4 linked regions of the Astyanax mexicanus genome follow. The protein of the gene in region 3 interacts with the protein of the main gene of each other region in a pairwise test. Links are inferred from orthologs where the notes say so. Each region holds a gene or a part of one and is shown on either strand. Other genes may lie near its edges.

The links.
Region 1: the proteins of cep76 (region 3) and dzip1l interact in binary tests that used the Homo sapiens proteins (3 or more experiments, as listed by UniProt). The link is inferred for Astyanax mexicanus from reciprocal best matches to the Homo sapiens genes CEP76 and DZIP1L.
Region 2: the proteins of cep76 (region 3) and nhlrc2 interact in binary tests that used the Homo sapiens proteins (3 or more experiments, as listed by UniProt). The two-hybrid records come from large-scale screens. The link is inferred for Astyanax mexicanus from reciprocal best matches to the Homo sapiens genes CEP76 and NHLRC2.
Region 4: the proteins of cep76 (region 3) and pard6b interact in binary tests that used the Homo sapiens proteins (3 or more experiments, as listed by UniProt). The two-hybrid records come from large-scale screens. The link is inferred for Astyanax mexicanus from reciprocal best matches to the Homo sapiens genes CEP76 and PARD6B.

Annotation. Positions count from the first base shown.
Region 1 is NC_064412.1:49,698,053-49,705,946, forward strand, and holds the start of dzip1l (cilium assembly protein DZIP1L), read right to left. Parts: upstream 3,013-7,894; 5' UTR 2,740-3,012; intron 1-2,739. UniProt on the Homo sapiens protein: Involved in primary cilium formation. Probably acts as a transition zone protein required for localization of PKD1/PC1 and PKD2/PC2 to the ciliary membrane.
Region 2 is NC_064422.1:32,417,476-32,425,459, reverse strand, and holds the start of nhlrc2 (NHL repeat-containing protein 2), read right to left. Parts: upstream 3,018-7,984; 5' UTR 2,995-3,017; coding exon 2,832-2,994; exon of another isoform or gene 2,819-2,831; coding exon of another isoform or gene 2,812-2,818; intron 2,098-2,811; coding exon 1,945-2,097; intron 1-1,944. Other genes in the region: dclre1a (DNA cross-link repair 1A protein), read left to right, coding at 3,454-3,859, 4,651-6,054, 6,531-6,664, 6,870-6,988, 7,845-7,984. UniProt on the Homo sapiens protein: Required for normal embryonic development.
Region 3 is NC_064413.1:38,478,167-38,485,589, reverse strand, and holds the start of cep76 (centrosomal protein of 76 kDa), read right to left. Parts: upstream 3,005-7,423; 5' UTR 2,803-3,004; coding exon 2,740-2,802; intron 1,018-2,739; coding exon 859-1,017; intron 30-858; coding exon 1-29. UniProt on the Homo sapiens protein: Centrosomal protein involved in regulation of centriole duplication. Required to limit centriole duplication to once per cell cycle by preventing centriole reduplication.
Region 4 is NC_064420.1:34,154,123-34,161,015, forward strand, and holds the start of pard6b (partitioning defective 6 homolog beta), read right to left. Parts: upstream 3,018-6,893; 5' UTR 2,686-3,017; coding exon 2,623-2,685; intron 1-2,622. Other genes in the region: fkbpl (FK506-binding protein-like), read left to right, coding at 6,049-6,432, 6,775-6,893. UniProt on the Homo sapiens protein: Adapter protein involved in asymmetrical cell division and cell polarization processes. Probably involved in formation of epithelial tight junctions.

The sequences.
Region 1 (7,894 bases), on a different chromosome or scaffold from region 3:
ACGCTGACAGAAGTTACTATTGATTCCTTTGGAATCAAGTTACTGAACCGATTCTTTTGAACAGTCTATTTCTATAAACTGAAACTCTCATGGTAAATCTACTGTATATATATGAAAAAAACATATTAAAAATAGACTGCTTTCAAGCTTTTTTTTTGCTTTTTTCTCTTGGTGATATTATTGCTTATGATATGATATGGCACACCCCTTACATATAGCCATAAAGACATAAAGCCACCCAGTACTGAGCTGTGGAGCAGTGGAGCTGTGTTCTTTGGAATGATGGAGCTCCATCCAATACTTTTGAGATGATTTGGGGAGTGCCAAAATCAAGCAAATCCTCATGGGGAGGATCTGATTACAATCAGAGTGTTACTGGGCTCACAATGTTGGGTTATCATCACTTCCTTTTCATCTCCCCTTTACATCTCCCCAGTTTCTCAGCTCATCCTATTCAAAAGTATTTGGCAGAGCGCCATCATTCCAGATAAGTTTTATTGTCTTATTACTAGATTTTTTAAAACTGCTTTGTGATAATATCAGTTGCCAAAATTCATATACAAATACATTTTAGTTGATTTGATTGGGTAGAGAATGAAGAAGTTTCACAATCCTAATGTTTTGTGCTTTACACCTTGTTTGGTGCTACTAAGATTTTATGTTTTGTATGATTTTGTTTAAAGGGCATTAAAGAGAGTAAGGGTGGGACCAAATATATATTCTATTATATGTTATTGTGATCGATTGTATCACTTTTGTTTGCAATATATTATTGATTTGTGGTGTGAGACTCGCTCCCCAATTAGACTTACTAAAGTCACTGCTTCATTACTCCACGTGGTGGTGCTAATCAAATGAACAGGGTAAACCTGCATTGTCTTGCACTATATCACAGATGTATAAAACCATGCACCAAGGCATTCAGACTGATTATACAAACATTAGTGAAAGAATGGGTCACTCTCAGGAGCTCAGTGAACTCCAGCATGGTACCATGATAGGATGCAGCACCTGTGCAACGAGTCCAGTTGTGGAATTTTCTCACTACTAAATATTCCACAGCCAACTGTCAGTGATAGTATAACACAGTGGAAGGCAGCAACTGTCAGTGTAAAATAACATCACTACACACTTCCAAACTTCATGTAGCTTTAGATTAGATCAAGAACAGTAGAGTGTAGAGAGACTCGTGAAATGGGTTTCCATGACCGTGCAGCTTCATCTAATCCTTACATTACCAAACACAGCAATGCAAGCAAGTGAATACTTTTGGCAATATAGTGCACTTAAAGAAAACACAGCCAAATGTTTGAACACATCTCTTCTCATTCACTGTGTTTACTTTCTTTTTATATTTTTTACATTGTAAATGTAATATTGAATACCATATTAAAGCTATACAGGAACACATGCAGAATTATGTGAAGTGTACATTTAGCTTATATTTTCTCAGTGTCTAGATGAGGTAGAGTCCCTTGGAATAGTTTTTTTCAGCATCTTGAAGGAGTTCCTGGAGGTGCTGAACAATAGTTAATGCTTTTCCTTCACTCTGTGAAGCCCCAGCTCATCCCAAATCACCATGTGATCAGGTTTATGAAGCACAAAGATTGTTTTACTGTTTACTTCCTAATTCTATATGTGTTCCTTTAATTGATTTCTCTTTAATCTGTTTAATATTAATCTACAATGTAGAACATAAATTAAGAAATAAACAGACTGAAAGAGAAGGTGTGCCTAAAGTTTTTCAGTGGTAATGTATACTGATGTAGCAGTATTGTTGCTAAGTCTTCATTTGTGTTTTATAATTAGTTATTTTATTTGTAAGCACAACAAGACTGCTGCTCTATTTATTAGTACATTGTGCGGTGATAATAACTTTTCACCTTATCTTAGGTGAATCGTTGTGTGCCCGAATCAGCGTTCAGAACTCGTTCAAATGAATCGATTCGAGTCATCGCTGGAAGCTGGACGTCGTTAACTTCGCTCTTTTATAAATATATTAACCTAACATGCTGGTAAAAAAACAAAAACACATATACTATCGCATATTTTAGCACCTACACGCATAGACAGCACGATATTAATAAAAACAAAGCCTCTACAGCTTAAATTACTGTTAACTCTAACGTTTCCGTTACTTATTACATTCATCCAGTGATGGTAAAAATACAAGAATACTGTGTTTTTGTCTGGAAATTATTTGCCATATCACTTTTGAAAGGGTTAACGCCAGACTTTCTGTGAGGAAAATATGCGAAAATCCAGCTAGAGTTAGTTGGTAAGTTAGCTACTATATCTTACAACAAAATAAACCTGAATAATCCTGCTTTTACCTCATAACATTTAAGTTAATCCAAGATTATTCTGACGAGTTTAGCCTTTAGTTCGTCTTCCAGAAAGTAGCTAACGTTAGCTGGCTTTAGTTTAGCTAGGCTAAGTTATAAGAACTGTTTGTTAATGGTCCGTGGGTATCTAGCTATGCTAAGCTAAGCTAAGCTAACGGTTCTAACTATTGTTTATTTAGCTAGTTAACTAACTAAGTTACAGTTTTCAGTTGCCGTTCGCCCTAAACACGCTTCTTCCCTAATTTCTAGAAAAACTGGGACTATCTTTAAAGCCTTCCCAGCCTGTGAGTGTGTTTACGGAGTATTAAAAAGAAAATAAACGAATTAAAACGAGGAATAAAACTGGAGCATCTGAGTTCAGCTTCAGTTAACGTTATATAACAGGTAAACTTACCTGAGCTCCCAGACTCCTCCAAAGTCAAAGTCAAAGTGGTTTTTATTGTCATTTCAGCTATATAAGTTACAGAGTACACAGTGAAACGAAACAACGTTCCTCCAAGGACCATGGTGCACATAAACGAGGTTAGCAAACTATCGTATCTAAAGCCGAGATAAGCAGAAGTTTCCAGCATGGCTCTGAAGAAAAGTGTAATTTAGGAGTTTAGAGTAAAAACAGGTTATTTAGAGTGTGTAAGTCAGTGTGTTGGAGTGAGGAACAGCTGGTGGGTGGGTGGAGTAAACACACACAGTTTCCTTGGAGATCTGCTACAGTACAGAGTATGACAACCCAGCTTAAAGCCAGGCATGGTTCATTATAGCTCTGCCTGATTGTAAGTTAATGATGTTTACCATTTAACTTTGAATCGTTTAAAAAGCTATTAGTGCAAGGCTATATTAGTCTGTTTTATGGTCAGAGGTTATGCAGTTCAAGAGCACGCTGATATATGTTAATATAAAAGAGAATAGCATGATATAATGTAATATAATGCTGCATTAGCAGATCAAGGCAAGTCTAGACTAGTAGCTAGGCCTATAATAATTACTTACAGATGTGATTAATAAATGGACATTTACTGATATATGTTTAAATCCCTGTTGAATGACTTTGGGACTTCAGCACCCAAATCAGCCAGTGCATCAGTAAAATAAACACAAGAGGGAGCTCTTGCTATTTAGCTGAAGTTTGGTGTCATTTCATGAGCCTGAACTATGCATTCTAATATTCTATTATAAATTATACTAATAACCAGAAAGAAAATCACTTTCAAAATCTTAAAAATATATATAAAACATATACAATATATATATTTTAATTTATTAATTAAAAAAATAACAGCCACCCCTAGGGATGTCACTCCATATAGAAAATAAATATATTGTCGTTGTCCAATGAAAAACAAGTAAGTTCCTTTTTGTGGATTTTTGTTTACTACATAATTTGGACACACAAACTGTCACTTACACTGTGTCAACATTTCTTGTTGAATGGACAAATAGAATTTCTCCAAAATGACCTGAAATTAACTATTTTTATATTGACTTTTATCGAAAGTTAAGAAGTTTTTATTTCTCTCTCCTGTAAATTTGCCATTTTGGAGATACTTGTTTTTCATTAAACAGTGACAATATGTACAATGATTTTATGAAAGACAAATGGAAATGGCCAAATATGTATTTATCCTTAATATACTGCGTGTGTTCTTTTAAACTAGCTTAGTTTATTGAGAATCAAAACAATATTTATCACCTAAACAGTCAGGCATTTGAACATCAGCCATTTACATACCAGACTAACTAAATTAGGATGTAAGGATATCATATGTGTACCATATACAAAGTTCCATTCAGTCAAAGCATATTCTCATAGTATTATTAATATTGTTGGACTGCATTTGCAATTTTAAATGATATGTTATTTACAACAATTGTTTCAAACACATTTAAATTAATTTTACAAGTTAAATTAAGTAATATATCTGTAATATAACATATATAATCAAATATAATCAATATATTTAATATATTTCTGATCTGTGAGGGACAATACAGTATCTTGTGCTAAATAGGCCAAAGCTATTCTAGATAATGCAGCCTTACCGTTTAGTTAATATTAGTTTCTTTATCAGTTTAAAACCTAAAGAGATCAATATGGTACTTAAATTGTCATATTTCTATGTAAAATCCATTGCCTTCTACCCAGCTAAAACAAGCCATGCTCCACAAATAGAAGTACCGGTAGTCTCACATGCCAACAGCACTAAACACTAACACCACTATCACACACTGTATAAAATATCCCACTGGAATAGTAACAGCGTCCCAGGTTCAATAACAGTCTGCAGTTTGAAGTACTGTAAGGACAGTGTTTGTGTAATGGCTGGGAAACTGGGGATAGATAGAATTTATCCTCTTTATATATACAGTATTTCAAAAGTAATCTATCCCTGTCCAAATTTACACTGAACTAGACTAAACTGGATTTCTGACTTTGTTTCAGTATTTGATTTGGTCCACTGATTGCTGAAATATTGTATTAATTATTAATAACACATTTATAGATATGGGCTTAGAAATTGTTGTCAGTGTGGCTTTTCTAATTCATAGCCTCACAGATTTCCTATTGTGTCTAAAACTGCATGCACTTTAATTGTGGATTTTTTCCAGTCTGATTCAGAGATGTCAGAGATGACATTATTCCTTTAGGTTACATTCACATTACCAGGCTGAAGTGACTCAAATCTGATTTTTGTTCAATGTGTCTCAGATCACATTTTTTTGTTTTTGTGGCTGTGTGAACGTAACAATTCAGATTTTTTAAATATCAGAGCTATCATTTGAGCCACTTTCATATGTGGTCCTAAATCGCATACATATCCAATCCATGGACAAGCGACATAAATGTGAACGGTCAAATCAGAATTCATGCGTCTTTTTGCTTTTACGCATGCGCTACGTTTTTCTCTCTCGAGTAGGGGTGGGCAATATTATATCGTATGCAATATATCGTGACACAGAAATATCGTGATATTGAAAATCCATATTGTGATAATAGGGCTGTTCTGTTTTAAAAGTAGTCTATTATTTACTGTGAAGCTTTAGGTGTATGTATTGTATAATTGTATTGTATTGTATATTTTAGAGCCATATCACCCACCCCTACTCTCAAACAAAAGATGCTCCACATATGAGCTGCTAACTCATTCATTTCCATTTATAAAGCTACGAGTCGTCTCTTAAATATGATGTTTTTTACTGTTGGTGAAGAAGGAGACGTTTATACAGGTATCAATGTGCGCATGTGAGGCATTTCAGGGACACATTCATTCACATTACCCACACATACAGATCACTTACATTTGTGAATGTGAACCGTAAAGATCCAAATACGATCTGAGCAAAAAATCGGATTTGAACAATATGGCTTGTAATGTGAACGTAGCTTTAGTTAGATAGGTAGGTACGTAGGTAGGAAGGTATGTACAGTGGTGCTTGTAAGTCTGTGAACCCCTTGACCTAAAATCTAAAACATCATCAGATTAGATGAAGAGAACCCAGTAAAAGAAATTAGATAAAAAATATTTTACTTGGTCTTAATTTATTGAGAAAAAATATATAATATTACATATTTGTGAGTGGCAAAAGTATGTGAACCTCTAGGATTAGCATTTAATTTGAATGTGAAATTAGAATCAGGTGTTTTCAATCAATAGGATGGCAATCAGGGTTGAGTGGGCAAACTGTTTTATTTAAAGAACAGGTATCTATCAAAGTCTACTCCTCACAGCACATGTCTGTGGAAGTGATCATTGCATAATAAAAAAGAAGATTTCTAAGGACCTCTGACAAAGACGTGTTGATGCTCATCAGACTGGAAAAGGTTACAAAACCATCTCCAAAGACTTTGGGCTCCACCAATCCACAGTCAGACAGATTGCAGTGTGCAAATGGAGGAAATTCGAGACTCCTATTTCCCAGGAGCCCAACAAAGATCATTCCAAGAGCAAAGTGTGCAATAGTGATGTAATATTGGATCATTTTCCTCAATAAATAAATGACCCAGTGCAATTACTTGTTAACTGGGTTAATCTACTTTTAAATCTGATGATGTAGCTTATATTTATGCAGAAATATAGAAAATTCAAAAGGGGTTCACAATCTTTCAACAGTTAATGAGCAGGTGCCCCAATACTTTTCCATATTATGTACCTGGCTACATTAGTTCTCTAGCTCTGTTTGCAGTCAGTGGTCTCTTTGGCCCTGTTGGTGCAGTTGGCAGTGTATCCCGCACACATGCTTCGTTCCCTCTCTGTCTTCAGGACGTTTTAATAGATGTATCTTGTGCATGCTCTCAGCTTGGATGCCTCGTCCAATCCTGGTGAACAGGCCCATCCCTCACTGTCTATTTAATGAAGTGATTGTCTTGCCTCTCGAGTGGGGCGAGTGAAGCTTTCTCTCTGTCCGCTCTGTTCTCCTAGAAGCGTACTGATACTCTATCAGAGTTACTGAAGATCTGGAAGTATGGAAAACTGCATATGTGCTGCAGATCAATACCTCAGCCAATATGCTTATGTGCAGCTTACATTGCTGGAATGTGAGCTAGATAGAATATACAGCTCTGGAAAAAATAAGAGACCACTTAAAAATGATGAGTTTCTTTGATTTTACTAAATTGAAAACCTCTGGAATATAATCAAGAGGAAGATGAATGACCACAAGCCTTCAAACCAAGCTGAACACTGCTAAAGCAGCATAAGCATTACCTGCTAACTGTGCTAGCTCTTGCGCCACTCAGAGGGAAGTAAATCGGACTGTAGCCTGCACATTTACTGTGTTAAAACAAGCTACGTGTGACGAACCGCTAGCTAATATCACCCTGGCTTACCTCAGTTTAGCTCTGTTGGGCGGCTAATGCTAATGCTCCAGCTAATGCTTTTCCCTTTTTCTCCCCAATTTATACGGCCAATTATCCAACCCACTCATTAGGACTCCCCCTATCACTAGTAATGCTCCAACACACCAGGAGGGTGAAGACTAACACATGCTTCCTCAGATACATGTGAAGTCAGCCACGGCTTCTTTTCGAGCTGCTGCTGATGCAGCATTGCCGAGCAGCCAGCGCGCCTGGAGGACAGCGCAGCGGCTCGGCTCTGATACATCAGCTCACAGATGCCCTGTGCTGCAGACATCACCCTAGGAGTGATGTGGGGAGAGAGCGCCATCTACCCACCCACCTGGCCAATTGTGCTCCCTCTGAGCACCGACAGCTTAAAGGCAAAGCTGCATGAGCAGGGGTTCGAACCTGCGACCTCCTGCTCATAGTGGCAGCGCTTTAGACCGCTGGACCACTCGGCGCCATTTTAGTATAAATAAACGGAAGAGCTTTACTCACCCAAATAAACAGTTTTCAGGAGAGAAATCTGTGTAGATTAACATCCAGCGGTCGTTTGACTTTAAATGAATGTCTTTTTTAATACAGTTTTGTTTACTTAGCTTAGCTTAGTTAGCTACCCCACCATCACCCAGTGGCAAGACCTGCTAAATTAAAAGTTCCCTTTAGTGTCTTTTAAAATGCGCTTTATAATCCGGTGTGTTTTATAGTGCGAAAAAAT
Region 2 (7,984 bases), on a different chromosome or scaffold from region 3:
AAACATGTACCAAACATGCTAAAGAACAAATGAAAAAAAATGATTATTTGATGTTATTTGGATTTTACTAAATAAACTTTTGATCAAAATATGGTCAAATATCCAAATTCTGTCAATATTTCAATTTAATATTATAAATGTATTAAAAGTATTAAGAATGATGTTACTTTATTTATATATTTATTATTTGAGTAGTTTAGAATCTCCTGAAAATAACCCTTGGCATGTGTGCCTGTCTCCTATAATTATTTAGTAATTTTCAGGTGAATAAAATAGGAGCTATAATAAATGGGTCTAGTGTTGTTAGAAATATACAACATCTGTTACAGACCTCTGTTCATTACAGGGATCTTTTAGGTCTGTGCCAGTTATTAATTAATTAATTTGCTAAGTTGAAATTCAATTGAATTGTACAGATTAAAATACTTTAATGATGAATACTTTAATGAAATTTGCTTCAATGAATCACAGAGCATGTGCTTAATTAGATTTTTTTTCGACTAACAACCTAAAAATGCGGCAAAAAAAAAAAAAAAATTAAATAAAAAATAAAACTGATTCCACAGAGCACTATATTACTAGTTACAAGACCTAGTATGGTTTTAAAATTACAATATTATTGGTTATCACATTTTTTCTGGGAAAATAGATCCAAAATAGATGTTTGTGATTATTGTCCTAAATGGATGATTCCATGCTCTTACTTAAACATATCAACTTACCATCACAATTCATGCTAAACATCTTTAGAGGTATGTCATGTGACTTGTATTTGGATTGTGTCATTATAAAAAAACACATGCTTTTAAAAGTTAGTTTGGCTGAAATCTGATTGCTCTGTGGCTATTAATACTGGTGTTTCAGTTGTGTTTTGGGAGCAGATGCATTTACACTTCCATAACATGTGACTCAAATGCTTCTGAGACTGCCACCTGAAGTGGCTTGAGTATTTTACATGTTGGTTTTTAGTGTCTAACTCTGGAGCAGAGACAGTGACAGTGTGAGTAAAGATTAATCTATTTCAAAGAAAAGAGCATTAAAATGCATAGTGCATTGATAGTTGTAGAATAAATCATGTTTGGCCATGAAAATGTAATTTATCTAGTAATAAATGTATACACTTGACAAATTATGTAATGCTACAATGTTACAGTAATGATACCTGCCAATATTTTTATAGCCGCTTAGCTAAAAGCTGACAGATCTCTTTTTTTCCTTAAGAGCTGAAGCTGTTGTTTTCGATGTGTGAAATCTGATTCTTTGTTCACAGGACACCCTTAAATCTGCACTGTAGCATAGTCAGCTTTTTGCAGGCATGGTTATTTGCCTGCAGCACTGAACAGCTTTAACTAATGGAATAAAGGAGCTGTAAAATAATGCATGATACATGTAGCAAAAACCAGCTCAGAAAAGATTTGGTTTGCACTTGCTCGTTATTAGGATTAGTAGAACTGATAGGACCAGCTCTATTAAAAGATTTTGGCACTGGATTAAGTCTTTATCAGACTGTTCAGGGTTCTTTCACTTAAAGCTAACTTTCAAAAACCTTGTTAAAGCCTTATAAAGCTGGAGCCAAACACATTTATAAGAATATATACAATCATCAAGGAGTGTCTACCAGAAGTGTTTCTTTCTCCATTATCTACACAGTTGCAAATTTAAATCTTATATGCATTAGCCTAATGGCATATCCCCACCTGAAAGTCTGTCTAGCTAATTTTAGTTTAGTAGGCAGGACTAAAGAACTTTGTCGTGTCATCATCACTTATGTGGGCTGAGTATTCTTATATTTTTTAGAAGGGGCGTGCACTGGTCATCAATTTGGTAAGTTGCTGGGCTACTGCAGAGTGATGATTTAATCTGACCAATATTTACCTCTTTATCTACACTGGTGAAACAAGAGGACATAGCTAGGTGAGTGTGTATGTGTGTGTCTTTGTGTACCTTTAACAGTGTGACGTTGCTCCAGTTGGTGCAGGTCAGGCAGTAAGTGCATGCAGTTGATGCAGCAATAGGTAAAGAAGTCCAGGACCACCACTTTCCCTGCCAACTCCTTTTGCAGAGACAGAGGACCCTCTGTGTTCAGCCAGTCTAGTCCTGCAGTAAAACAATAGTCAGACTGATATACCAACAACACAGAAAAGCTCAACTAACTGCTCAAAACAAAATACGTTCAGTAGCACTATATTCATTACCAGGGCGTATGGTAAGGGTTGTTAAAGAGCTGATTATAAAGAACAGGCCTGTTGGGAGCAGGGAAACTCAAAAAACAGAAGAAACAGCAATTACTTTATTCGATATGCACTTTACAAGCAGTCAAGACTATGTTAGAAAAATCTTGAATGAACATTTATATTCAGAAGTAACTTACAAATATGTAAACTTGGACTTTTTACTAGTATGAATTATGAAATATATTTTTTTATAGCAGAGCGGCTCGTATTTGTAGAAACTACAGAGTAGTGTAATTTGAGTTTTTAACTAGTTAAAACTGCATAAGTACTTGTATTGGTGGGGTCGTTTTAGGCATAACACAGTCTATATTTGTTTATTCCAGTCTGACAGTAATATGAGCCAGAAAGAGAGAGAGACGGACAGAGACACATAAGAGAGAGAGGGAGAGACAGACACAGAAAAAGAGGGAGATGGATATATAAAGAGACAGGCAGAGACAGAGACAGAGAGAGATAGAGAGAGACGGACAGAGACACAGAGAGACAGAGAGAGAAAAAACAGACAGACAGAGACAGAAAAGGAGAGAAAGCCACAGCAGAGAGAGAGACAGAGAGTTAAAAACAGGAACTCAGTAACTCAGCATTTTCCACTCGAACCTTCCTCAAAATCTGGAACTTTCAGGTCTTCCTTGTGGTCCAGTTTTTTCAGATACTCCGCCACCAGCTCCTCCCTCTCCCGCGGGCCGCTCGCCTCCTCCAGGCCGCTCTCCAGCTCGCTCTGAACCGGGAACAGAGTCGACAGGCTGCTGTAGGCCGCCATGTTTCCGAGCACCGCGGAGAACAGAGAGGAGAACTGCGCGGGGGACGCGATCAGCACATTCAACATAATGACAACTAAAATAACCACAGCTAGTCACATAATCATATTTATATATATATAAAAACTCCTACGCTCACATGCAGCATAGAGCTAAGCCACACACGCATAAAGTGTACAGTTTGAGAGTTGCTGTATTATTATTGTTTGGAGAAAATGCTGATGGGAATGTGTGAGGAGGTGTTTCTCCTCAGTGGCGGTAAGTGTGTATGTAACAGGACTCATGTTTACAGTAGTAGAGGGATATTTAACTAAATAAACGAGTTATAAATGAATCTGCCAAACGATAACAATGTTTTAATTGAAATGTGTGTCTGTTTGTGTTAAACGTTATGTTTAGCTGTTTAAAACTGTAGCTAGGCTAATGGTAGAGCTGCTGTTATTGGTGGCTGCTGGTGTGAAATGTCACAGAGTAACTCAGAAAGTGATATCTGGGAATATAAACCTCTTAAAAAGACCAAAAGACAAAATAATAAGTCACAAAAATGCAGCGAGTCCGCAGCAAAGAGACAGAGGGTGAACAAGCAAGGGAAGGCAAAGAAACAGACAGAAGATCAAAATGCCAAAAACAAGGGCTGTAATGGATCTTCCACCAGGAATCACCTGCCCGAGGAATCTGTACAGAACACCAGTATAAACGGATCACTGACCACAGACCCTGAAACACAGGCTGCTGCTTCTCCTGAGGGTGATACAGAAAGCCAGGGGTACTGTCCAATCTGTCAAATGCCTTTTTCTATCTTGGTGGTCCAGTCTGAACGGTGGCATGTTGCTGAGTGCTTGGATACCCCTGGAGAAACTAGTAAAGGTATGATTATATGACTAACCTACATAATTAAATGCATGTTCACTGCATGTTTGTTAGTCCGTATAGTTATCTGTATAATCTTAAATGTTTCTTAAAGGAATGTACACTGATATTAGATTCAAGGGTCATTATAGTATTGGGGATTGCCTGTCATCAAAGAAGTTATTGCGATAAACAATATTATTGTCATTTTAAAACAATAAAATGCCACTGACATAATATTATAACTGGCTAAAATACTGTTCACTTTTATATATGTCAGCAGACAAAAAAAGCCTTTTGTTATTTTTATAAAAACAAAAGTAAAATAGTCTTACACTTAGATTGCATAGTCAGACAAAAAAATGTAGTAGTGCAGTCAGCTGTGATTGGTCCTTTTTAGTATACTATAAATAAATCTGCAACTATTAGGGTAAAATTTCGACCAAGTCTACGCATCAATCAGATGCAGATGTTTCTAAAACACAGTTGGTTTGATTGACATTTCAAACCAGTATTTGATTATGTTGATTGAACTGCAGCAGAGCTGAAGATTTAGGTGATGCTAGGTCTCTAGCATAAAGACTACATTATCTGCACCTTGTAGATTTTGCTGCGTTCATAAATACGTTATATTCATAAATGTACATACACACCTAAAAGAAATCAGCTGATGCTGACATCCACCAAAACTCCAGTCCCTAACTTATCTCAAGGATATATCATTGTGCCAGTTGTGCCTGTGCGCCTTGTTCGGTATAATAAATCTTATTTGTATTGTTTATGTTCTTTCTTTTGTCTGAAATTCACAGAATGCCCATTTGGTCTTCAGTGCTCTTCGTCCATTCCAAATCATTACAAGAGATACTGCCACTCTCTTTTAGCTCATAGTCGAGCAATAAACAGCCCAGACTCAAGACTAGCCCCCTCAGACCAATCACATCTGGAGCAGACATTGTATGTCAGTGATGCCATCATCTCTAGAAAAGAGAGCTCGGTGGACAGTGCGGTGAATCTCTCTTCAGTGTCCAGCCAGAGTGCCTCTCCTAGTCATGGATCCAAGCAATCTTGTACACCTGTTGGTCAACCCAATGCGTTAATGCGGCTAAGGTCCCCAGACCCTGAGGATATTAAAAAAAAGAAAGGTTGGTCCCCCTCTGCCAAAGTATCAAGATCCCAGTGTTCATCTCAGGAACCTAAAATTAGGAGTTCCACTCCTGTTAAAGCAGAAGGCATCTGCTGTGCTGTTCAGACGGTTGAAGTAAAAGAGGAACCCTCTGCTTTAAACAACAACAATGATGATAATGATGATTATATTTCCTACTCTCCCCTTTCTGAGCTCCCTGCTGAAACAGATGTTATCTGTAGTAAGAAAAAACTGTTTCAGAGTACTGCAGTAGAAGAAGCGGATAACGATGATGATAATGACTCACTGATGCTGTTTGATGAGACTGTGAGTGAGGATGGTCTACTCTCTGATGTCTTGGAGCAGTTTGAGAGAAGCCAAGAAGATTCTCTCAGTACGGAGGCTCCGCCTGTGACCACCTGTGATCAATTAGAGTCCTTAGACCCAATTGAAGATGTTGCTGATGAAGCATTTGGGTCTCATTCCAGTGTTAAACCCTCGCAATACAAACAGTTGGTAAAAGACAGTGAAGGTAAAGGGAGCAAGACTCAGTTACAGTCTCCTGGAAGTTTAGTGTTGGAGCGCCTTCGTGATCATTTATCTAACCCTGCAGATTTCAACAGTCTTGACTCTACATGTGCAGAAATAGACTCTGTTTCTGAAATGCCTTCCACCATGCTCACCACCAAAAACCAGTCTCTCTCCACCATTACTCCCAGTAAAACCCAGAACAAGGTCTCTGGGTTAAAGCAAACTGATATTGGTGTGTTCTTTGGATTGAAGCCACTGAGTAAGAAGGCTGAAGAGAAGGTTAATTCAGTGAAGGAAGAGGTGAGCTCTACTCCTAGAAAGAGCTCTGGACCTGCAGGACGGAATACTAAACGTCAGGGTAGACAGCGCGGGAAGAGTGCTGCAGTCCACGAAGAGTCCACAGCAACGGAGGCAGTCGAGGAAGGAGCTGCTCAGCCCACGCAAACAGAAGGAGGCAGAGGAGTGAGGGCAGGGGGGAGGAAGAGGTGGAACAGAGGAAGAGCGACAGATGGAGGACCAGTGGAGCCCAGGCGATGCCCGTTCTACAAGAAAATCCCTGGTTGGTTGGCGTGTTATTGCTTATTTGTTTTGAGCTGCATGGTTTTGTCACACATTTCTTTTACTCATGTCTCTTTATTTATCAAATTTTACATAATTGAAATTGGGCAAGTAAGTTTGCCTAAACAAGGAGTTTTTTTTGTCTTCAGTTGCACACAGCCTAAGAACACATACATTCCCACTGTCTCATAGTAATGAATAAATATCAAGTAGCAAGAGACTTATCTGACGTCTTTTTTTGCACAGCTCTCTGATGGTAGGAACTTAAAGATTGTTTTCCCTTTAGTTTTCTGTTGTGTTTTTTTTTAAGTGTAACTTTATCAACTAATAGAATAATAAAATTGACACTTTTAATGCAATATTTAATTTTATGAGTAATAGGATGGCCAAGGCAATGCAATAATCCTGATTTGAGACACAATTCTATGTCATACAGGTAGTTCAGTTAGCTCAGTCTCTTTATCTGTCTTTTCACAGGAACTGGCTTTGTAGTCGATGCGTTTCAGTATGGAACCATTGAGGGCATTACAGCATACTTTCTTACACACTTCCACTCTGATCACTATGGAGGACTCACAAAAAGGTCCACACTTCCCATCTACTGCAATAAAGTGAGTATCTCTATTTCTGCATTAAAATAAAATGTGGGTTGGCCAAGGGCTATTGTTGCATGTGCTCATCTCATAAAGCCTGCTTTAGTTCATGAAGAGTAGGTGGATAAGTTGGAGTAGATCCTTTACAGCAGAGAAATTGCTTTTATGATACTACACCTAAATTGTTTTGCGATGGCTGGCTGATAAGTTTCTGTTATGGTAGATAACTGGTAACCTGGTGAAGAGTAAGCTGAAAGTGGATGAGCAATATGTCCACATTCTTCCAATGAACACGGACTGTGTGGTGGATGGTGTAAAGGTCACCCTTTTGGATGCTAATCAGTGAGTACTGAAACATTTATACTTAACTATGCAATGCTATGTTTACAGTGGCATGCAAAATATGGGGACTTCTGGTCAAAATGTTTAATGCTACATCCAAAAGATTAAACATTTGAGGGAAGATCAGTGTTCTATTTTGTTTTATTCAATTTGAGAGAAAAGCAAAGTGCTTTTGGGTAAGGTAATAAAGAATTGGAGGTTAGCAGGACCAGCAGAGACAAAAACAATATAAACACGTAGTATAAAAAATGTATAAAAATTATCTTATTGAAAGAGTCATTAGACGAAACCCTGTATCCACATCACGAAATTCAGTGTTAGATATATCTAATAGATTATATAACCAAGATTGATGCACATGGGGACTGAAAAGCTTAAAATAAAACTTTGTGGCCACATTGAGCAAAAGTATGTTTGGAGAAAAGGGGAGTAAACATTACGTTGTCGTTGTAAAAACACTGAATGGAAAAGGATAATGTTCATAAACACATCTCACCATCTATAATAGACCTCAGAAGATGCAAGCTGGAGTTTTGGCATGACCCTTACAGACTTTTAACCTAAACATAATGAGAAATCAAATTAGTAAAGCATGCAAAAAAAAAGAAATCTCACCGAAATCTGTAGTAAAAAATGCAAAAGAGAAATACAGCATAGAAGGACTTTAGCTTGACTACAAAATGCATTTACAATAGTTCAACAAGTACATTTTTTTAGTTAAATATTAACTGTCACAGATTTTTTTTCTACCAGGTTGCCCAAACTTTTGCATGCCACTGTATCTAATAGCTTCAGTCGATTTGTACTTTGTTACTACTTGGTGAATGCATGCAGCACTGAGACGCTTTCTTTCCAGCTGTCCAGGGGCAGCTATGTTGCTGTTTCTGCTGCCAGATGGCCAGACCGTGCTCCACACAGGTGACTTCCGGGCTGATCCCTCTATGGAGCGCTACCCAGAGCTGCAGGGCTTCAGGGTTCAGACGTTGTATCTGGATA
Region 3 (7,423 bases):
AGAGCATCTGCTTCTATTTGTGATTCTGTCTAAAGAAAACATAATCCCTAAAACTTTGTAGTAACACCAACAATCATAGAATTGAAGTAAAAAAATATAGCAGAATAGCAAACAAAACCATAAATTAGGTATCCAAAATGTGATTCAAAACTGTCAGAATGTTGTGTATATATATATATATATATATATATAAAACTCAAATTCCCAGTACAAACAAAGACAGATACAGAAATATGGCACACTATCAGTGGTCTATTGCTGCCAGGACACTAAAGATATAGATTAATCCTGGACCACAGTGAAATACTGATGGTAAATCACCACTTTAAGGGAAATTTGTTGAGGCTAAGGTATAACCTGGTCTGTCACAGTACAACTTTTGTTATATTTTGAGTTGTGGGTAATCTGGCCTCCTGTATCATTAAAAACTTTTTAAAGGGGCCTCAGCTCAAACTTTAAAAAAAATGGGAGGGGTAGCTTCGGAGAGGCACTGGGTGATGTATGGGTTTAGAGGCAGGGCAGGAGGGAGATCTGATTGGCTGAGCAGCAGCAGCAGCAGCAGTGTGCCTATGATAGCAGTGAGAAGCAGATGGTTGGACGTCACTGACTGATTGACTGATTTGCATGTTCCGATGTGTCTGCATACCCAAGTACAGCGACACATCATCCTCACCTGAAAGGGCACTGCAGAGGCGGAAATTACCACAATAAAAGCGCTTTTTAAAAATAGTTTAGGGTTCAGTAGTTCAGTAACTCTCTTCCTAAGCACTAAGGCTGTGTATTGGCAAGAACAGTCAGCAATGTTTGCTTGTGGGCTAAAAAAATAAATATTAAAAAGGTCTGTATTAAGTATCTTACCACATTAACAAAACTCAGCTCCTTCATGGCCTCCTCTACAATGCCTCTGCGCTGGAGAGCAGTGAGAAAGTCTTCCTCAGAGAGTGGTCGTTCTCCACGGTCCCCTTCAGCTTGCAGCGTCTCCGCAAGGACACCTCGAATTTTCCCATGGATATCCATCTGATCATATAATCATTAATATTACTGACTGGATCCACAGACATGTGCATCAAACCACATCCACATGAACATAAACTTCAGGATCAGTAAAAATATCAAATTGGAATGATAAACAGTAAAAACAGGAAAATACAGCATCCACAGTGTAATTTGTCCAGTGTATTATTTGCACCTCTTGATTAAGATAAGAACTAAATCTGGAGAGGGTAACCATAACTGTGACACAACGCTGTGAAATAGTCATCTACTTTAAAATAAAGTTTTTAATAAATTAGGTACATATTTATTTACTAAATATCACAATTATCACATTTAAACATCTTCTGGGCATTTAAAGGGCAATTAGATCCCACATCCAGCTGTTTCTTTTATTTTAAAATGATGAAGGATATGGCAGAAATAACTGACTAATCAACTAATCAAAAAAACACCAGATTAGTCCACTACCAAAATAATTATTAGTTGCAGCCCTTTCCACCAGTATGACCTACCTGACCTATCTGGTTAACCAGCTTTAACAGTATGATCAACTTTACTCCCAGCTTGATCAAGTTCTTCAGGCTTATAGAAGATCTAATCCATCAAACTCAAATGAACATGTACAGTTTTTGGGCTGAACAATAAGCATTAACACTGCAATAAGTGCATGCTTAACAGCCACATTGAAGGTTTTGCAATGTGTTTATTTGTATGTTAGTTCACATATAAAACAGAGAACAGTATTTAGGTCAGTCATGCTATGACCAATGCCTGTGACCTATACACACAGTGTGAACTGCAGTAGGTGAAAAAAGCATGTATTTCCGATGGAAGACTAAAACATGATAATTACAAAATAGTTGTCTTTTTTAAAAAGGGTATAATTGCTTTGTTATGATATTTTACTGTCATTATAATAATAGTGGCATTTAATAGTTTTAACATTATAATAATATGGTTTATTGCAAGCATTTCTGGGATGATGAATCATACACAAAATAATGCTATATGATTAGTCTTATTATGTTATTATATTATGAGTTTTGAATATATATGTTCCAATGTCCAAAACACCGGACCCTACTATGCTAGCGGTGGTGATAAATGATAAAGTTATGGTAAGCAACCTTACTGAAGCTTAGTGATTACCTGTTCAACATAAACATAGCCAACTCACCTGTTGCTATGGCTGCAGCACCCTGTCTGTGTGCTGTTGTCTTTACCTGGCAATCCTGAGTGTGGAAATTGGATTGTGGGAATAACAGTGGGCAGGCTTCAAGCCTAAAAACCCACACAGATTTTCCAGAGTACTGCACAGTCTTTGCTGACAAGAGCTGCCAGTGTTTAAACTCAGCATGTTTCTGTAATATCGGATGATACATCCTGGTCAAAATACCGTTTAACTGTTAGTCCTTAATGGTCCTTTAAGTAGTAACAACTTAAGCTGTAGCTGCAGTAGTAGCAGCAGTATGAAGCTCTAGATCATTTTAAACAGTATCAGTGGTGGCTAGATGTATTATTAAGGGAAAGTGTCAATAGTGAATGATGATATCTAGCTAAGTTAGGTTAGTAACCTACATGTAGAGTGTAATTATTGTAGTTCAATTCGTTAGCCACTCAGCAACCGGTGCTCCTGCTGCTCCACAGCTCTCTGAGCCCAAACCTGATTCAAACACACACTTAGTTGCAGTCAGGCCAGACAATCAGTTAGCAAACAGAGAGAACCTGGGCGACATACGTTACCTTCATTAAATGATCCTGGATGATCTGCTTCAGTTCTGACGCTTTCTCCGGTGGAAGAGACATGTTTAAACCAGTTTAAAGTGTATCTAAAACAATAAAACGACTAAATTAAACTTAGTGTTTTCAAGTCAGTATCCAAAACTCTTAAGACAAACTCGTATTTAGTGGTTTATTACAGCTACATTGTTCAGTGTCGCTGTTTATTTCAGTTATGTGTCAGATGTCACAATCAGCAGCTCCGCCTCCTCCCCTTCGCCAGTTTAAATCCTGGCGGAAAGGCCAGCGGGAGACTGGCTTCTTCGAAAGCCGCACTATTTTACCACGTTTTAAAACATTTTAGACAAATCGTTAAATACTAATGTAATTCATAACTTGATCTAAGATTATAATTTAAAATTGGACCACACGTATTGCTTAAGCGTCGGTTTAAGCTATCTACAATTCAGTCAGGCGATACTTGGACAGCTATAAAATGCTGTCATGTTCCAAAGACCCTTTTGTAGTTTTTTTTCTGCAGAGTGTAGTTAAAAAACGATTCTGGTCTCCTTCATTCTTGTTTAAAGCTCTGTCAGAGATTTATTGTTGGTGCTCTTTTATTTATTCTTTTTTGGGGGTTTGTAGCTAAATACATCCCTTTTAAAAGGAAGTACGTAATGTATAATACGAACGTTTGACCAACCAATATGGCTAAATATGGTATTCTCTTTGAAATTACCTTTAAAATATAAAAAATGTCCTATTCATTGGTCTTATTTATTCACTAACAAATAGAAAATATAAGGTTTATTTAAATATAAACTGGTCGATATGAATGTCAAACTCATGCTTACAGTGAATTTCACTAACAGCAAAGAACATTGATTAAACATTTATTTTTGGTTGCATTTTTTTTGTTGATAATGAAAAACATCCGTTTTTCAACATTACCGGATTAGGCATCATTATATACAGCTCTGGAAAAAAATAAGAGACCACTTAAAAATAATGTGTTTCTTTGATTTTACCAAATGTAAAAAATCTGGAATATAATTAAGAGGAAGATGGATGATAAAGCCATCAAACCAACTCTGAATTGCTCTCTTTATTTTTTCCAGAGCTGTATATAAAGTAGCTTCAAATATTACCTCACTATATTAGCCTCACAACACCAGGGTAAGTATAAGCCTAAATTGTGCCTAAAGTATTAGTGTTAATGCATGTTCACTACGTTAGCCTCATAACTCAGGGTAAGTTTCCACTAATTGTTTGCTAATTAGCTACATTAGCCTCATATTTTCATGGTGTGATGGCGCTAATGTAAATACATTTTAGTAAGCTACATTAAGCTCATGAAAAAGTTTAAATACAAGCTTCCACTACTTGTTAGCTAACAACATTAGCCTCTTCGGTCTAGTGCTAATTTGTGGGGTATGAGTTTTCACTAGGTGTTATTTAGCTAGCTTTTCAGTTTCAGAGTTATTAAACACTTAAGAAAGCTTATTTTGTTTTATTTTAAGTAAGTTTGCCTTTTCATTTATATGTGAAAAGTACTAGGAAATAAAAACAATTCAGGGTAAATATTATTTACTGCAAATTACTCTCATTTTATGGCTTTTACAGATTTGTCATGGCAGTGAAAAATGTTACTGTAAATGTTACTAGTTTACAGTAAAAGTTTTGTTAACATTTGTTAAAGTAATTTACTGGCAGTTTTTTTACAGTAAATTCTACAGCAGTGTTTTACAGTGTACATGGCATGTACATGTCATGACCAATACTGACACGTGGATCTTATATAGCTAAACATATAAATTTAAAGAAATTACTTTTAAACATGAGTTGTAAAATATAATGAGCAAAAAAAAAAATTCTCTGTTGTGACAAAAAGTTAGGACACCCCCACATTTATTACTATTTATTATTACTAATTAGAATAAGGATAGGCAAATTAACCTGAATCAGCTAATCATAATAGACCCTTCACATAGTGCACCTAGTAGACCAAAACCTTCTTCTGTTTGCAGGACTGTTGATCATGATGTGTGAGAGAAACTGGAGATCAAGCTCAGCTTCTGGCCTCAAAGCACTCATCCCTGTACCTGAACTGAAACAAACCATGTCCGCTGTGGAGACACAAGCAGAGACCCCAAACATGAGTAAGAGAGAGAGAGAGTACAGAGCTGTGACAGAATGAGAGGAAGACAGATGGACAGGAAAGGTAAATGTCAATACAAATACTTGCTAAAAGTTTGCAAATAAGAAGAAGTTCACAATTGAGGGAGACATGAGAAATTTTTGACTGACCCTCTCTTGTGTTAACAATACAAATGCACTGATATTAACAAACAAATACTACCTGATATAGTTAAATAATAACGATAGTAGACTCATTGCTAAGCCTGGGGCATTTACCCAAAGCCTTTCAACTAGCAGTAATTAAACCATTGATAAATAAACCATATGGAGTTCCCAGCAGGACTTTACCAGGACATTTCCAGTTCATATTAACCACCAAGCAGCACCCAAAAAACGACCTGCTTACCTTTCCACCACTGCTAGTAATATTTTTCTTACTGTAGTTACTTAAGGCAGGATAACAGAGGGAAGAAAAAGTTGTAGGAGACAAACCTTTATGTAGTGGACTTTATTATTACTTTATGTAAAAATAAATGCATTTTTAATAGAGAAAATGACCAAAATAAAAACAGAAATAGTATTTGTCCTGCTGTCCAATGTCACATTGGCCAAAAATTGAGTAATCTAGGTCGGTAAACAGGAAAGCAAATACAAAAAACATGCACTTTTGATAGTACATTTCTCTTAAGTTCTATAAGATACACACATATAAGTATATGTATACTGTAATTACTGTAGAGAGCACCATAAAACACAAGTGCAATATAAGATCATTGTTTCTAGGTGACCAGAGTGTAAAATTATACAATTTGTGTTCAGAGATTTGCAAAACTGTGTTTTATAATGACAGTTGACTGAGAACACATAGACTTGTACCTAACATTTTGCAATTTAGAGCTATGTTTGTGATACACCAGTTTTCAGAATTTTGTGTATGCAATGGAGAAAACTGTTTCTCCTATTTAAAATGCTTTGGATTCAGAACGTTATTCCCGTATGAATGGTTTACGATGCACAACCATAGAACCAGTGAACTGTCCTTTTCTGTGTCCTTCCAAAGTCCATCTGTTCTGACTCACATTGGCACTGCGGCCCTGTCTCTCTTATGGCATGGGGCAGGAAAATTCCTCCCCATTTGGACAACTTGTTGTTTGCTTGTTTTGCTTCTTCTCAGGAACACATTTTAGGGGATATATAGATAGCACCATGTTGATGCCCTGAGGCTTTTAATAAACATGGAAAAAAGGTTTAATCCTCGTCAGTCAACTAGCAAAACTAACTTCTGAGGGTTTATCTGGCATTTTGAACCTGTACCCTTCCCGCTCCACACATGGCAACATGTTCACTTCAGCCTCATTCATCATCTTCTGGGCATTGTTTTAGTGGCAGTACGCATTGTGCTGCTTAGTCTGCTGAAGCTTCACCCTTTTCAGCTAGTGAGTGAAAAGACTGGGTCTCAGCTCGACCCAATTGTGATCGTCACTTTAGATTACCCTAGTTTTGAATTTTTAGATCTTTAAGACCAAAAGATAAAAGTCAGGTGAAGCAAGATTTCAGGGAACAGGGAAACAGTAACTTATTTATTATTTATTATGTGCTGATGTCATTATTAAATGGCATTTGCATTTAGAATAAATGAGAAGTAAAATAAGAGGATGTGATCTATGAACAAACATAATAAATATGATTTAACAGAAGTAGAAGGAATAAAGAGCCTAATTAAGACAATATAAGGTAGAGTTTATTTAAGATTTTTTTTACACACATGCGGTGTATATTGTTTACTTTATAACAAATCAGTTGTACGTATCTTAGGTACCCCCCAGAATGGGTAATGTAGGTTTTTTTTTTTTTTTTTTTTTTTTTTTTTTTTACTTTTTCTGAAAGATTAAATATAAATTATTGCTAAAAAAAAAAAATCAAGTGAGATCAGTGAAGTTAAAACCTGTGTTAGGCAGTATAGTCTGTGTAAGTCACACACACCATCAGGACTCTTTTAAATGTTCAGTATTTTACACAGTATATCTTTGTGTCTACAGTAAGCGTGTAGTATATTTTAATTTATATTTTAATTTATTTTTCTCTCACAATCTTGTTTACAATAATAATAAAATGACCAGTAACAAATCTGGATCCAGTAAAAATTATTATTAGTTATATAATCAAATTGGGCCCATCTTCCCATATGTGGTTCACTGTTCTTGACCAGTGGAAATGAATCAGTCTTTCCCGTTTGGAAACTTAATTAGATTTTACCATGCCAGCAGTAGCCACTTCTGCAACACACTGGATCAATTCCAGGAACTGAAGCTGTATACGGCCTCCCATTTGGTCCACATTGATTTCACTAATTCCACAAATCATTTTTAAGTTCAGGCAACAGTCCTTGAAGGAAAAATAAAATCTATATTTCTAAACAGCTTCCAGAAACCATGGCTCTAGTTGCATTGATCATGACAGGAATTAAATATATAACCCTACTATTTCCAGGGTAGCCAATGTAATTTAGAAACGTGTACATTCTATTAAAACTCTACTCAGAATAGAGGTGCTCTTTTTGTTTAATTCA
Region 4 (6,893 bases), on a different chromosome or scaffold from region 3:
GACATATATGGTTGGACAAATCGTAGCCTTATGAAAACAATTTAACATAAGAACTTTTTCTTATTACTGAAATAAAGCACTAAACTGCTATAGAGCCATTCTTGGTCCAACAACAAAAGATCATATCAAAAAGTACACCAGCTTTAGCAAGTACACTCACTGGTACAGTATGTCTTGTTAGGCAGTAATTAATTAAGACAGAACCCTTGAAAACCTTAGTAGGAACTCTACTTTAAATGACTCACTTTTCTTAAATACAGAAGGTAATAATGCTAAATCACAGACAAAACTAGCTAACTAGTCATTTTAGAAAGAAAACTAAACGGCCTGATTCATTTTTAGGTAGTTAGTTAAGGCTAATATTTTAATACTGAGCACAATCATTATAAACACCACAACGAGAGGTAAAAGTTAGAAGAATCATTAATTTTATATTTAAGCTTAGGTTAAAGCTGGCTAAGCAAAACTTGTCCTGTTTAGCATCAGTTAGACACTTGACTCCAGTGAGAAAGTAAACACAACCGGGCTACAGGGCAGTGTTAGCTTTAGCTACAGGTGAGCTAAAGCTAACACTGCAAGGCCAGTAGTCAGCTCCAGCTTCCGATTAAACAAATTACTTACTAGCTAACTTAACACACACCCTTCACTGTAGTTAAAATAACCCCAGGCGCATGCTGTAACAGTATTTGGTCTTCGTCACAACCTACACAGTGGAATAAGCTTAGTTACACACAGACTTTAACTCTGTCTGCATCTGCTTTTTGATTATTACCTTAACCTAGTTAATTAATCCAAAATAAACAGCAGCTGAACCTTTCTATAAACTCAATGACTCACAGCAGGTTGTGTAGTTAAGATAACACCACCAAAAAACAGGCTTATAGAACTGCTTAAACGAAATAAACAGACCTTAAAACATAATCTTCAGAAAAAGTATTCTATTAGTTACTGAAATAATGAAGCACCAAAATACTGTAAAGCTATGCTTGGACAAAAATACATGCTATTGTACTAGCTAAGAAGTATATTTACAAAAAGTACACTAGCATTAGTAGTACACTCACTAGTACAGTATATCTTGTTTAGTACTATGTCATTGAGACACAACCCTTGAAACCTTACTCTAGATTAAAAAAAACATTAACTGAAGTGTATTGTTTTCAGTTGGTCAGAACATGTTCAAATGACTCAATTTCTGAAATAAAGAAGATAATAATGCTTAACAGCAGAGAAAACTAGCTAGCAAGATCATATTTTAATACTGAGTCATAAACAAGTCAACCACCATCATTATCATCACTACAGCAAGAAAGAATGACAGGTTAGGTTCAAGTTAACCCAAGGTGTTTCCTTAATAATATAGGTATGCTTATTAACGACATTTTGTCTTAGTTATAATCTACACCGTGAAATAAGCTCAGTTACACACAGACTTAAACACAGTCTGCACCTGCTTTTTGATTATTACCTTTAGCAAGTTAACCAAACCAAACTTCTGGAATCTTACTATAAACTCACTCACTTATAGCAGGTAACCTAACACCACCAAAACACAGGGTTATATAAATGCTTAAGCAAAAGAAACAGACCTTAAATAAGACATAACATTATTATCAGAAACTATTAGAAACTAAAACAATAAAGCACTAAAACACTATAGAGTTATGCTTGGCCAAAACACATACTATTGTACTACAGATTATATCAGTAAAAGTACACTAGCATTAACAGTACACTCTACACACTAGTACAGGATGTCTTGTTTAGTACTATGTAAATTAGACCCAACCCCGAAACCTTTCTCTAGATTAAAAAACTCAAACAATAAGTAAAATCTATTGTTTTCAGTGGGTCACAACGTGTTCAAATGACTTAAAAACAGACAAATTTTAATTTTAATATTATTCACGAATCGTCATTATCATCATCTAGGTGTTTCATTCATTTCATATTTAGGCTAATTTACAGCATTTAGTCTTCTTCATAACCTACACAGTGCAATAAGATTAGTTACACACACAAACACAGTCTGCACCTGTTTTTTGTTTATTAACGTTAGCTTAGCTAGTTACTAGTTAGTTAGCTATTTAAATCATTAATCCAAAATAAAACAACTGATTTTTTTTATCTAGTGAAGCTAGTGAAACTCACACCACCAAACTTCAAACTTCAAACAAAATGCTAGATAATAGATAGCTTAATATTCCTCAACAACAGATGGGTAACTAACCTAGCTAAAGTTTAAATTAGTTAGCTGAGATATATTAGCTAGCGTTAACTAGGTTATATAGCTATACATGCTTGTAAGCTAACTAGATGAATGTAAGTTACTGAATCTACCGTCGCTACGACGCTCAAGTTCGAATTTTCCGGTCCACCTTAAACAGCGCAGTAGTTCCATACTGGCTTTACTGTTTAGGGTGGACTGGAAAAGTCGAATAAGAAGCCGACCCAACTTCAGCTTCGTCGGTTTAACAATGTGAAGACACTTTTTTAAGGTAGCCCAGACAAACACGCTGTACACAAGAAAAATCGGCTAATCGTGGCTCGGGCGAAGCACGGAGACTCAGCGTTAATCCCTCCGCCGCTGCGTGTAAGAAGTAAATTAGCTTTGCTGCGCACCTTGCTCTTCACCTCCACGGCGCTCAGAGTCCGGCTGCTCGGCACTCGGTGGTTTTTGTTCATCTTTCGCTAACTGCGCCCCGCCACAGCACACACTTGCCCTCCTCCCGGGGCTGCTGCACTCATTCGCCTGGAAACTCGCTCTTTCCGTCGCTTTTCTCCACTCGATCCAGGTAACGTAAACCGGGGAAAACGTTGATGTCCGGCGACTCCTCCGCTCCGCGTCCTGCTGTGCGGCTAGCTGCCTTCCGAGCGGAGTCGCGGTGACAACCACAGTCAACAGAATATCTTCCCAAACTCTTCTCACCCCCCGCCCTGCCCAGCTTAGCCTTGTCTGTCTGACTGTCTCATACACTCTGCCACATAGCTGCTGCTCTACTGTACTGCCTGTGACGCTGCCTGCGCGCACCCAGGAAACAGCCCCAGCCTCGTTCCTTAAAGCGCGCCCCCGCTGGCCACTTTTGTCCCTCTACCTGCCCCCATACCTCCATACCTGTACCTGTCCTTGAGTTATTTATTAACAAAACAACATTGTGAGCCTTTCACAACTAAATAAATACTTTTATGTAAAGAGTCATGTCCATTCACAGGCAAAATGTGTCCAAAGCATTTATATTAATTACTCAGGTAGAATTTATTTTTAATTGTTCTTCTATTTTTTTCCATTTTATCCCCAATTAACATGGCCAATTACCCACTTTACTCATTAGGACTCCCCCTATCACTAGTGGAGGGTGCCACCTCTGATACATGTGAAGTCAACCACCTCTTCAGCAGCATCGCGCTCGGAGTAAAGCTCATTGACTCGGTTCCGATACATCAGCTTACAGACGCCTTGTGCTGAGTGACATTACCCTTTGGAGTGATGTGGGGGGAGAGCATGGCTAATTGTGCTCTCTCAGGCCTCCGGTAGCGGATGGCAAGCTACATGAACAGGATTCGAACCGGCAATCATAGTAGCGGCGCTTAGCCCGCTGGACCACTCGGAGCCCAGGTAGAAGTATAGTAATATACTAGGGTTAAAAAATACTTCTGTAGAAGTTGAAGTATCAACTCAAGCTTTTTACTTAGGGAAAAATATAAAAGTACTGGTTAAATTACATAAAGTAAAAGTAAGGAGAAAAAACGCTATTAAGAACAAAAGCGTAGGCCCTCCCACAGGGGTCTATAGTGCGCTACCTCACCTCTCCAAAACACATTTTTCTAAAAGCAATAATGACTATGATGTTATATTACAATGTTTAGGGTAATGATTTTTTTCATACAATACAAATATATTAAAGAACCCTAATTCTAAATAACTTTTATACAAGGCTACATACATCTGCTATGTTCTTGCTGAAGTGTGGCGTGATATGTGCAGGTGCGATCAATTGCATTCAAATCAATTGGGTGTCGGAATGCTATGTATGGATGGCACAATTTATCTGTATAAACTGAAATTAAATCAATCTGAAATGAAATAGGTAACGAGTAGCAAGGCTATTTTTTAAATTTAAGGAATAGAAAGTACAGATAATTGCGATAATTGCGTTAAAAAAAATAAAAAGTTAGTTGAAAAATAATTACTCCAGTAAAGTATAGATAATCGAAATGTATACTTAAATAAAGTAAAGTATTTTGTAAAGCTGAAAAGTACTTTATTGCTTGACAACTCACCTCACAGGATTATTCACATGTGTCTTGAAGGGCCCATATTGTGGAAAACATTTATCTACCTTGTTTATGAAAAACAGAAAATTTAAATTAAACAGGTGCATGCTTACACATCCTGTTGACTACCCTATCTGTACAACCCACATATGTTAAATTAACTGTAAAAACAGCCCATATTAAAATGACTGTTTTTGTTATATCACACAGAAACAGTTACATATACTAAGCCTGGCAAAAGTCAAGGGACAGAGTAATTAGTATCATACCAGCATTAAATGCAGTAAGAGTTTCTGGGAAAACACTGATGACATGGCTCTCTAAAAAAAAATCACTGATTGTAGAAACTTCACAATCAGTGAATCACTTGGAGTGTGTGTCTCTGATGCTCAGTGATGGTTTGGAGAGTTATGTCATCTGCTGGTGTCGGTTCACTGTGTTATATTAAGTCCAAAGTGCAGTGTTTTCCTGAAAACTCTTACAGCACTCTATGCTTCCCTCTGCTGAAAACTTTTATGGAGATGCAGATTTCATTTTCTAGCAGGCACACTGCCTACACTGCCATAGGTACCAATTGGTCTTATATAGTATTCAAATTTTCTGAGATACTGATTTTTGGGTTTTCGTTGGCTGTAATTAGCCATAATCATCAACAATAAAATAAATAAACGCTTAAAATAGATCACTCACGCGTTTAATATATCTATATAATATATGAGTTTCACATTTTGAACTAAATTACTGAAATAAAGTAACTTTTCAATTATATTCTATTTTTTTAGATGCACTACTAGTACGAGCTCGCCATCTCCTGGCAGTAGTAGGTGGAACAGGCGCAGCACCGCCCTTTCGCTCCAGACCTGCACGGGGCGCTGGAAAGTCGCGTATTAATACACGCTTCTTCTCTGCCTTCACACCGCGCGAGGAGTAACATGACTAGACAGACTGCTGGAGCATAGTTACAGTTATCACCTGTCTGTAGGTTGATAATATATACTTATATTATTTTACATTCACACACACATGTGTGTTTTAGATGTGGAGACTGGAGCAATGGATGAATGAGAACAGTGGCTAAATCTGCTGCTTGGTCATCAGCCTGCTGTCTGTCTGACTGACTGTCTGTATGACACTACAGGTAAAAGTAGACACTGAATTTAATAACCTCTCACCTCTCACTTTAAAATATACCTACTTTGTAAAGATAGTTTTGTAAAAGCTCCATAGTGTGACAGTGTTTTAATAGGGCGTGTCCACAAGATAGCAAGCTAGCTAATACTTTAATATGTTATTTTGTTTTTTTATGTTAATTAAATGCCCTTATTACAAGAAGTAGTCGTAGTTTTGTGAACCTGATGAGTTTCTTCGAATTTACCAAATTAAAAACCTCTGGGAAGATTGATCACAAGCTATCAAACCAAGCTGAGCTGCTTGCATTTTTGCACCAGGAGTGGCATATAGTTATCCAAAATCAGTGTATAAGACCGGTGGAGGAAAACATGCCACGATGCATTAAAACTGTGATTAAAACCATGGTTATTACACCAAACATTGAGTTCTGAACTCTTAAAACTTTATAATATGAACTTGTTTTCTTAGCATTATTTAAGGTCTGAAAGCTCTGCACCTTATTTTCTGCAAATAAATGCTCTAAATGACAAGATTTTATTTGGATTTTTTATATTTGGAATTATCAAGTTATTTTGGCTAGTTGGGTTCCAAAGATCTCCATAATTATTTGTCTCTTTTTACCTCAGTTTTAGGGATTTGTCTATGGCCACGACTACACACACAAAAGGTGACGTCACCCCTGATGCCCCATGGATATCAGTTACCCCTGCTGGTCTGTGGCAGGTGCAGAGGAGATGGACAGGAGAGAGAAAACAAGGAGATGACACTCCACTAATGGGTTCTGTATGCAAAATTAGAGTGTACCTCAAGACCCACACAGAATCAGACACCCAACCACCAAGCCTTAATGAAACGGAACCGGCGGTCAGTGATGATTCTGACAATCAAGTCACACAGCATCCTCGCTCCCAAGATTCTGTGCTGCAGGTGCCACTGGACAGATGGGTCCTGTTGCGCATGGGAGAGGGGCAGTGTGACATTGTAGAGAGCTGCTTGGAGAGAATGAGAGCTGGAGAGAGTTGTGAGGTAGGGACAATGATGACACACAAGTATCACATAGTAGACACTTCAACTTTAGTCTCTATCATATTGTAAATCATATGTGTCAAAATGGTTCCCACAGAAATAAGCATAATATGTTCTCAGATGGTTTCATGTTTGCTTATCTTATTATGTTTGAAGATTAAATGCACCTACACTATGGGGCAGTTTTATGGACAGGGACTAAGCCCAGTCTAAAACTATATTTTTCTTTCAATGGAAAAAATCAATTTAAAATGCTTTGTAGTCTAATATTATGCTAAGTCCCATTAACATACAAGCAATACACTGCAAATAAATATATATTTACTGTGCTTTTAATTCCAGTTCACTGTAAAGGCCCATCCAGAGGATTCCACACAAACTTCCATGGATGCAAACGGCCCCCTGACAAAAAAGACGGAAGAGAGCAAACAGTGTCAACATTTTTCTCTGCAGCTCCACTC